2 linked regions of the Rattus norvegicus genome follow. The protein of the gene in region 1 purifies or fractionates together with the protein of each later gene. This does not show direct contact. Links are inferred from orthologs where the notes say so. Each region holds a gene or a part of one and is shown on either strand. Other genes may lie near its edges. The genes, in order: Itga3 and Cd9.

Evidence for each region.
Region 2: the proteins of Itga3 (region 1) and Cd9 purify together in Homo sapiens (affinity purification with western blotting; 3 studies listed by BioGRID and IntAct, with this or other methods). This does not show direct contact. The link is inferred for Rattus norvegicus from reciprocal best matches to the Homo sapiens genes ITGA3 and CD9.

What each region holds. Positions count from the first base shown.
Region 1 is NC_086028.1:80,515,883-80,520,208, reverse strand, and holds the start of Itga3 (integrin alpha-3), read left to right. Parts: upstream 1-1,307; 5' UTR 1,308-1,733; coding exon 1,734-1,939; intron 1,940-4,326.
Region 2 is NC_086022.1:159,944,324-159,948,129, reverse strand, and holds part of Cd9 (CD9 antigen), read left to right. Parts: intron 1-1,677; coding exon 1,678-1,775; intron 1,776-2,378; coding exon 2,379-2,453; intron 2,454-3,489; coding exon 3,490-3,588; intron 3,589-3,736; coding exon 3,737-3,806. UniProt on the Homo sapiens protein: Integral membrane protein associated with integrins, which regulates different processes, such as sperm-egg fusion, platelet activation and aggregation, and cell adhesion.

The sequences.
Region 1 (4,326 bases):
TGTAGGGACAGCCCTGCTCCCATATGTAAACAGAATAACAGGTACAGCCATGGATTTACATAGTGGTGGCAAGGACAAACTTTCCATAATTGTCATTGGCAAAAGGACAGCAAGGTCTCTAAGAGCTGCACCTTCGAATGCAGCTTCAATCCTCCGCGTGGAAGCAATCTTACCTTCTAAGGTCCTCTGTATAGATAGGGAATCAGACCCAGATCGCACTGGCTTCTCAAACACCAGAGCAGAATCCCATTGGATGGGTCCATTTTTGCCCTATTTTCAGCTTTCTCTTTTCCTTACTGTATGTATATGACTGGTGATTGTGTGTGTGTGTGTGTGTGTGTGTGTGTGTGTGTGTGTGTGTGTGAATAGAGACTTGTATATATGTATATTACCTTGGAAAAGTTGTATTTGTAAAGCAGTTAGCATAGTGTCTGCTGCATATGCTGTTCTTGCTTAATTATAAAAACACAGAAAAAGGTGCTCAGGGAAAATGAGTCTTTGTTCTGCATTAGAGGAAATCTGACTAAGAAAAAAAAAATTCCGTAATGATCTCGTTGAGTTCCCTTTCAGTTTCTTTCCCTGATAGTGAGATCTTTGAGCCTACCCCGCCTGTCTCCACCCCTTCACCTGGTATCACAACCGTGAGAGTTGAGATCCCATTCACTGCTTTTAGAGACAAAGATTGCCCTTTGCCAATTACAATTGCTGATGGGCTGTCATCAGCACCGCTATTTATCTGTCTGGCTCTGCGGAGGAGCCGCTTCCAGCTGGGATCAGGATGAGAGGAGGCGGGTGGACAGGAGAAATACTCCTTCATACAATGACATAACATTGAGGTCACTTAGAACGAAGAAGTTTAGTCCGGAGACCCACAGTCACCTCTTTAGCGACTCGCAGTGCTGGGGAGGTCCGCATTCCAGGCAGCCGAACGCAGACGATCATTCCCCCCCGAAGAGCCAATGCCTGGTATGCCCAGCCGGGACAGCGGTGCTGGCGGTGCCTAGAACGGCCTTTCTAGTTGCAGCCTCCGCGGAGCGCCAGGCAAATCCCACCTCTGGCCCCGCCCGTCCAATCCGTCTTGTGCTGAAGGCGACGTTCCTAGGAAGAAGCTTGCTGCTAGACCGGGGAAATCCAGGCTTTAAGGGTTCCCGACAGGTGTCTGAGAGAGAGGGCGGAGTCGCGATAGGAATGATGGAGAGGGAGGGGCAGCGCTGCCCCTTTAAGAGGCGGCGGCCGAGCGGGGACCTTTTCTCTTTCCCCGGAAGGAAAGCGGAGCCCGGGCTGGGCGCGCAAGGTGGGGAGGTGCGGGGCTAGGCGGTGGGGAGGCGGGGCGCGCGCCGGGGAGGATCCCTCCCTCCTGCCTTCCTAGCGATCGCGGATTTGCCTTTCTAGATCCTCCACCTAGCCGAGATCTAAAGAGCTAACACCTCCAAGGGGGCGCGGCCCGGACCATCTAGGGTGCAGGGTGCCCGGAGCCCGGATCGGTGACCGGTCCATCGGACCAACCGGAGAGTAGATACACGGATCTGGAAAAAAGACTGGAGAAGCACCAACCCGGAGCAGACGTGAGACTGACCTGGACTAGGGCAAAAAAATTGCCGGAGTCCCGGCGCAGCGGCTCTGCGGGCTCGGGTGTCCTCTGGCGGCGCCTGGAGCAGGTGAACCGTTCATCACTTCCCGGTGCTGAGCCCTCTAGCGATTTCGCCGGGCTCGGTTCAGCCCGGCCCGCAGCCATGGGCCCTGGCCCGCGCCGCGTGCCCCGCGACCCTGGCTGGATGCTCCGCGCCCTGGCTTTGATGGTGGCGGCTAGTGGCCGGGTCGCCTTCGCTTTCAACCTGGACACCAAATTCCTGGTGGTGAAGGAGGCGGTGAACCCTGGTAGCCTCTTTGGCTACTCCGTCGCCCTCCATCGGCAGACTGAGCGACAGCAGCGCTACCTGTAAGTGAGCCTTGAGGCGGTGAGGTGGGGTGCAGAGAGAAGGGTATGTGCGCGGATACCTGACCTAAGCTGAAATGGAGTCCTGGGCCCGCCGATTTCCAGGCCTGCTGTTGCTGGCCTTTCCTTGTGAGCCAGGATTAAGAGGGCGGGTACGACGGCAGCCCTCCGATTGTGGGGCTTGGCGGCAAGTGGAGGATGGGGGGCGGGGGGAGTAATCATGGCAAGTGCTGACCTGGCCAGAACCTGTCTAGACGCGGCCGCTCCACGCTTCAGACATCTTCGGAAGTAGGGTCTTTGTTACCCAGCACCCTGAGAATCCAGTACTTAACATTAGCTTCTTTCCTGGGCTGGGAGAACGTTGTACATTAAACACCTATTACATCTCTCTTCCCCTCCTCCCGTAGAGAACCCGAGAATGTATGCGTTCAAGCCCCTATTAGCCCTCTCATTTAGTCTGTGGCCAGAGCAGCCACGCCCTCTGCAGAACCAGGCTGGACCACACTTCTCAAGGGTTTGGCATTGGAGAATGAGGTGATGAAGAGGCTGGGCGTTCGGAGCTGTCCAGAGGCTCCCTCTGACCCCTAGAGGGACGGACAGTAGAAGACAGAGGAGGCGCTGTCCTAAGCCTCCGAGGCCAGAGCCCACCGGAAGCGGTGGGGTCCTCCCACCAGTCATCTCCCTGCATTCCACGGATTCATGTTGAATCAGCAGCCCCGAGTGTGTTTGTTTTGGTTTGAAGAGGGAAATGGTGTTTTCTCTTTTCTTCTGCTCTTCCTTGCAACAGCTGCAAGAAGCTCAGAGAGCCAGGCAGAGTGGAGGAGGGGAGGAGATTGCATCCAGTCACCTGCCCCTCCCTAGGCACACTCATGCCCAACCGGTCATGTCCAGGTGTCTGAGGTTTCTCTGCATGGGTTCTGTGTGCTGAGGTAGGCTTGCTGAGGGAAGAGGGTGATCAGAGGAGGCAAAACGACCTCGGGAGGGCCAGTGATGATCATATAAGACCCTCCTACCTTTTTGAGCTGGGTGGCCTGGCAAGGCGTTTACTCCTACCTGGCCTCTGACAGTTACTAAATCAGAAGACACTGTCAAGGTAAAAATATCGAAACCTCTCCCTAGGCTGGCTGGAGCCTGTAGAAACTTGAGGAAGTTTGGAATGTTCAAAGTCCAACTCCACTTCTGTCTTTGCCTCTGCCCTGCTGGCCCAGCCCCTGTCTGTACTGGCCACCTGGACTTAGTCTCTACCCTACCTGGCCCCTGCCGAAGAAGAAGGTGGATCAACCACACCCTTCCTGCCCTGGCCAGGCAGATTTAACCTTCTACCGTTCTGAGGCCCTCTGGTAATAGATAGTGGCTACAGCAATGCCGTTGGTTGCCTCCCCTAGCCCAGTACAGAGTTTTCAGATGTTCTGATGTTGAATGTGCATGGTGGGAACTGACACAGTAGAAGAAATTCTGCAACCCCTCTCCCTCTGCTCTGTGACCTTGAGGGCGATATTGCCCTCTCAGGGGCCAGTTTCCCCCTGGATGCGGTTGTACCTGGGTCTGTATTCGCTCTCTTATCTCTGCTGGCCTCTGAGAGGCACCTTGGCTTTGTAGAGAGAGAAGCTGAGTGTTCCAGTACCACTGCCGTGTCTTGCCTCTGGTTCTAACTCCTGGGCCTTAGTTTCCCTGGTCCTGGAGAACACACCTTCTTAGAGTTAGAAATACGTTAGTGTGATGGTGTGTCTAGAATGGTTCTGGTGTGTCCAGTCCCCCGGTGGACACCAGTAGGCTCTGGGGCTGAGACTGGGTGGAGGTGTACTTCTTGAACCTACAGGTCCTCCCCAAGTTGGCCATGGGAAAGGCTTCTGTTTTCCTCTCCAGGCAGCTGCAGAGAAGGCCGAAACTCACGGATCTCTGAGAGCAGGTGGTTCTGGCCAGATGGGTCTTCTCTGTCTTTGTCCAGAGCTGCTTCTGTGTCTTGGTTCTGTCTTCATCTTACTGAGTTCAGCTCTCCGTCCTTTTGGGAAGGAAGCAGCTGGGATTCACTGTAGCCAGCTGTGTAGCCAGATGTGAACAGCTGCCTGTGTTCGAGGGAACCAATACGTCAAACTGCAACTTCAGATTCTGTCATCCTCTAAGGCTCCTTGGAAGAGTGCGGTGGGTGGCTCCAGTCCTTTGGGGTCTGCCAGCTTTCAGAGAGCCCTATTTGCACAATCATGGGTTTGTGCATAGTCCCTGGGAGATCAGGGAGGAGAAAGCATAGCTTCTATGTTCTCAAAGAGTTTGGTCCAGAAGTGATTAAAAGTCCCAGATAGACTCTTTATCTCTATCCTGGGGTACCCCACCCATGACCCAGGTTTGCAGAACTCAGTATCTATCTGATAGTAAGAATCCGGGGCAGTCAG
Region 2 (3,806 bases), on another chromosome or scaffold:
GATTGGCAGAGACAAGTGGATCTCTGTGAGTTCAAGGCCAGCCTGGTCTACAGAGAGAGTTCTAGGATATTCGGAGCCACATTCTGAGACCCTATGTTGGAGGGGGAAAAGGAAACAAAAGAGAAAGAGTAGAAGGTGTACCACCACACCTGGCTGAGACGTACATCTTTAAACCCAACACTCGGGAGGCAGAGTCAGATGGATCTCTATGAGCTTGTGCCAGGACAATCTACATAGTGTTTCAGGCCAGCCAGAACTTACTGAAGAGCCCCGTTTCCTCAACATATATCCACCCACGCATTCTGGGCTTTAAAGATGAGGCTCTTGATATGTCACTGTAGCCTTCTCAAGGTTGGCGAGAGCATGGTAGCAAGACGGGAGGCATTGTGTAGTGCTTGTGCAGAGGGACCCAAGTTCAATTCCTAGCACATATGTTGGGTGGCTCGCAACTGCCTGGAACTCTAGCTCCAGGGGCTGCAGCGCCCTCTTCCAGTCTCCAAGGGCAGCTGCATTCATAAGCACATATATCAACAGAGACATATACATAGCTTAAGAATGAATATTAAAATACAATACGTATGGAAAGCACTACAACCTCTCTTAGGACAGAAGGGGGCTTCACAAAGGTAGTCCTGCTCAGCAACTATGGCTTCTCAAGAGTGTCACTGCAGGTTAGACTCTGGGCATAGCCGTGGTGATCTGGAATAAATGTATCCAGGGCTGGTCTACTCTGGTTCCAGATCCAGGGATTTGCACTGTCTGGGTGTAGGCAAGACTTCAGGGGTCTTAACCCTCTCTGCCTCCTCCCCAGCAACCACTCCCATTGAAGGCTGAAGGCACGATGTCACCCACTCTCCATAGTGTGATGAATCCTTTCACCCTTAATCTAGAGTAACTTCATTCCAACCATAAGATTTTTTTCCAGATGGACTGACAGGATTTCATGACAAGCACATGTGTGTGTGTGTGTGTGTGTGTGTGTGTGTGTGTGTGTGTGTGTGTGTGTGTGCGTGCGCGCGCAGTGCAAGGTGCCTGCAAAGAGGGCATCAATTAGATCCTGGGAGCTGAAGTTTCAGGCATTTTTATAAGCGCTCTGGTTCCCATGATTAATTACACAAGTACTCTTAGCCACTGAGCCTTCTCTCTACCCCACAAATGCAGTCTAACTAAAGACACCCAGCAGATAGTAGCAATGTTGGAACCAAGACAAAGCTCTTCTGATTTGATGCCCACTCATGTGCCATTTGTACTAGAACAAGAAAAACTCCTCTTGCCAGCCTGGCGGTGTGCAGAAAGGATTTCTGGAGGGATCGATGGTATTCTCAAGTCCCAAACCGTAGTTTGAGAGGTCTCAGTAATTTAGCTCAAGTGCATTATCCTGTTGGGAAGAAAGTAGCAGACTGAGCCAGGGATTGTCTCCTAAGAATCAGAGAGTTCTGTCCTCGGGCCCAAGGATAAGGTAGATTGTTGATGTGGTGGAGCAGAGTTCTGGGGGAGAGGGAGGGGAGGGGAACCAGAGGGCAAGGTGGAGCACGCTGTTTTGTTAAAAAAAAGGTCTCCTTCCCTGGAGCGGAAGCTATCAACAAGGAGGCATGATGAAAGCTCTAAGAGGAAGAGGCCTGGGCCTCCACACTGACGTTTGCAACCTTGTGTCTTTTTCCCCTCTCCTCCCTTCAGGAGTGTACATTCTGATTGGAGCTGGGGCCCTCATGATGCTAGTTGGTTTCCTGGGCTGCTGTGGAGCTGTACAAGAGTCACAGTGCATGCTGGGATTGGTGAGTATTCCTTCTGTACTCCCAGTCTCCAGCCTGTCTTACCCTTAATCCCGTCCTTTCCCAAAATGTCACCAGGCCCAGTGCACAGGATGGGTAGAACAAGTGGAGTAAGGAAAGGGCCTAGGCTGCTGGGCTTTGCTCAGCCTTTCAGTATCGGTACCTCAGGCCCAGCCCTGTCTGCCTGGCTCCCACCTTCTAGGTAGCTAAATGCCAGGACTCCATTTCTGCCTTTCTCAAAGGCCATGTTTACTCTCCCCTTCCCCCAAGTCCACAGGTCCTTTTGCCTTCTCTCCTTCCTGTTTCAAAAATTGTTTCCCTCATGCCCAAATGCCACAGAGTGAATGTGCTGCCTTTGTGCCCTCATGCTCGGTGTGTGTGGGCGGTGGTGTTTTATTGCTGCCAGACTCCAAATAACACCCCAAGCACCAGTTTAGGGTCAACGGATCACATTTTCCCCCCGGAATGCCATGGGCTCTCTGCTTTTTGGTCACCCTCTTCCTGCCTGTTCATCTGTGCCACCCGCATGCTAACTGCTCTACATCCCTTTGGTGTCCCTGACTGGCTTGCTGGAGTCCCTCTCACCACATCCCCTGTGTCTTCTAGTTCTTCGGATTCCTCTTGGTGATATTCGCCATTGAGATCGCCGCAGCCGTCTGGGGCTATACCCACAAGGACGAGGTAGGTGTTTCCCCTAAGAATGCTTGGGTCCTACAGCGATTTGAGGTTCTGAGCTAGGAAGAGGGTTGACAAAGATCGAAGGGTCCAGGCTAGTCACTTGCTTGGTTTTCCCCTCAGCATTCAGTGTGTTCCCATATAAGAGCAGGACACACAGTCGGTGGGACTGGGATTGTGGGGCTAGCCTGCCCTGTGTGGCCAGCACATGGTAACCATTCAGAACTATTACTCACTTTGGAAACCATTTGTGTGTGATGAACCCATCTTCGTGCCTGACAATCACAGCCAAACAGCCCTCCCCCACTACTCCCCGAAAGGTTGCTCAGAACACCATGGCTTTCTGTAATCAGCAGAGACTCCCTTTCTCTAATCCGTAAATACGTGCTACAAACACCACACCAGATGCTATGCAAGGTCCCCGAGTATTTCCAGGTCCCACACCTTGAGGAACTTTGCCATCTAGTATGGTGGGAGAAAGATGTTTGACAAACGTCACACTAGTCATTTATAACCAAAAAAAAAAAACCAAAACCCTTGAGATTTAAAAAGATTGTAAAGAAAGGACTGTGGATCTAGACCATGAATGAGATGGGGCGTCTTGGGAGGAAACGGGAGGAGTGGGGACCTTCTGGGCGACAGAAGGGGCCAAGCGTGTGAGTTTAAGTTTCTCTGGTGAACTCTCAGGACGTGTAGGCCGGACTGGAACACACCAGTGCAGCATTTAGAGGCAGGGCCTCTAACATTCTTCAATGAGAGAAGAAGCCCAGGGGCATCGAGGTGGGATCCCTGTTTTCAAAAATCTATCCAACTGATAAAAGAATTTACGAAGGGATAGAGGCCGGGGATCCCCAGTACCACACCACCACCTCAAAAGAAACCCAGGCAAGATGGCAGACTCCTGTAACCTGGGCACTTTGGAGGTCGAAGCAGGAATGGTGCCGAGAAAGGCGGTACGGTGGCAGTTAGCCAAGTGCTTGAAGAGTATCCGTGAAGCAGTTTCTGAGAAACCCATCTCTGCTCCTTTGTCTGTCCCTTGTAGGTGATTAAAGAACTCCAGGAGTTTTACAAGGACACCTACCAAAAGTTAAGGAACAAGGATGAGCCCCAGCGGGAAACACTCAAAGCCATCCATATGGCGGTAGGTCACCTCTGTAGCGGAAACCGCTGACCCCTCCGGTACATCCCTGCAGGGTATCCACACTTGGGTATTTCTACACGGGGCTGGCATGCCTCTTTTAACTACCTTTTTGTTTTTCTCATCCCTCCTCCCTGCCGTCTCTCTTCAGTTGAACTGCTGTGGCATAGCTGGTGGTGTGGAGCAGTTTATCTCGGACATCTGCCCCAAAAAGCAGGTTC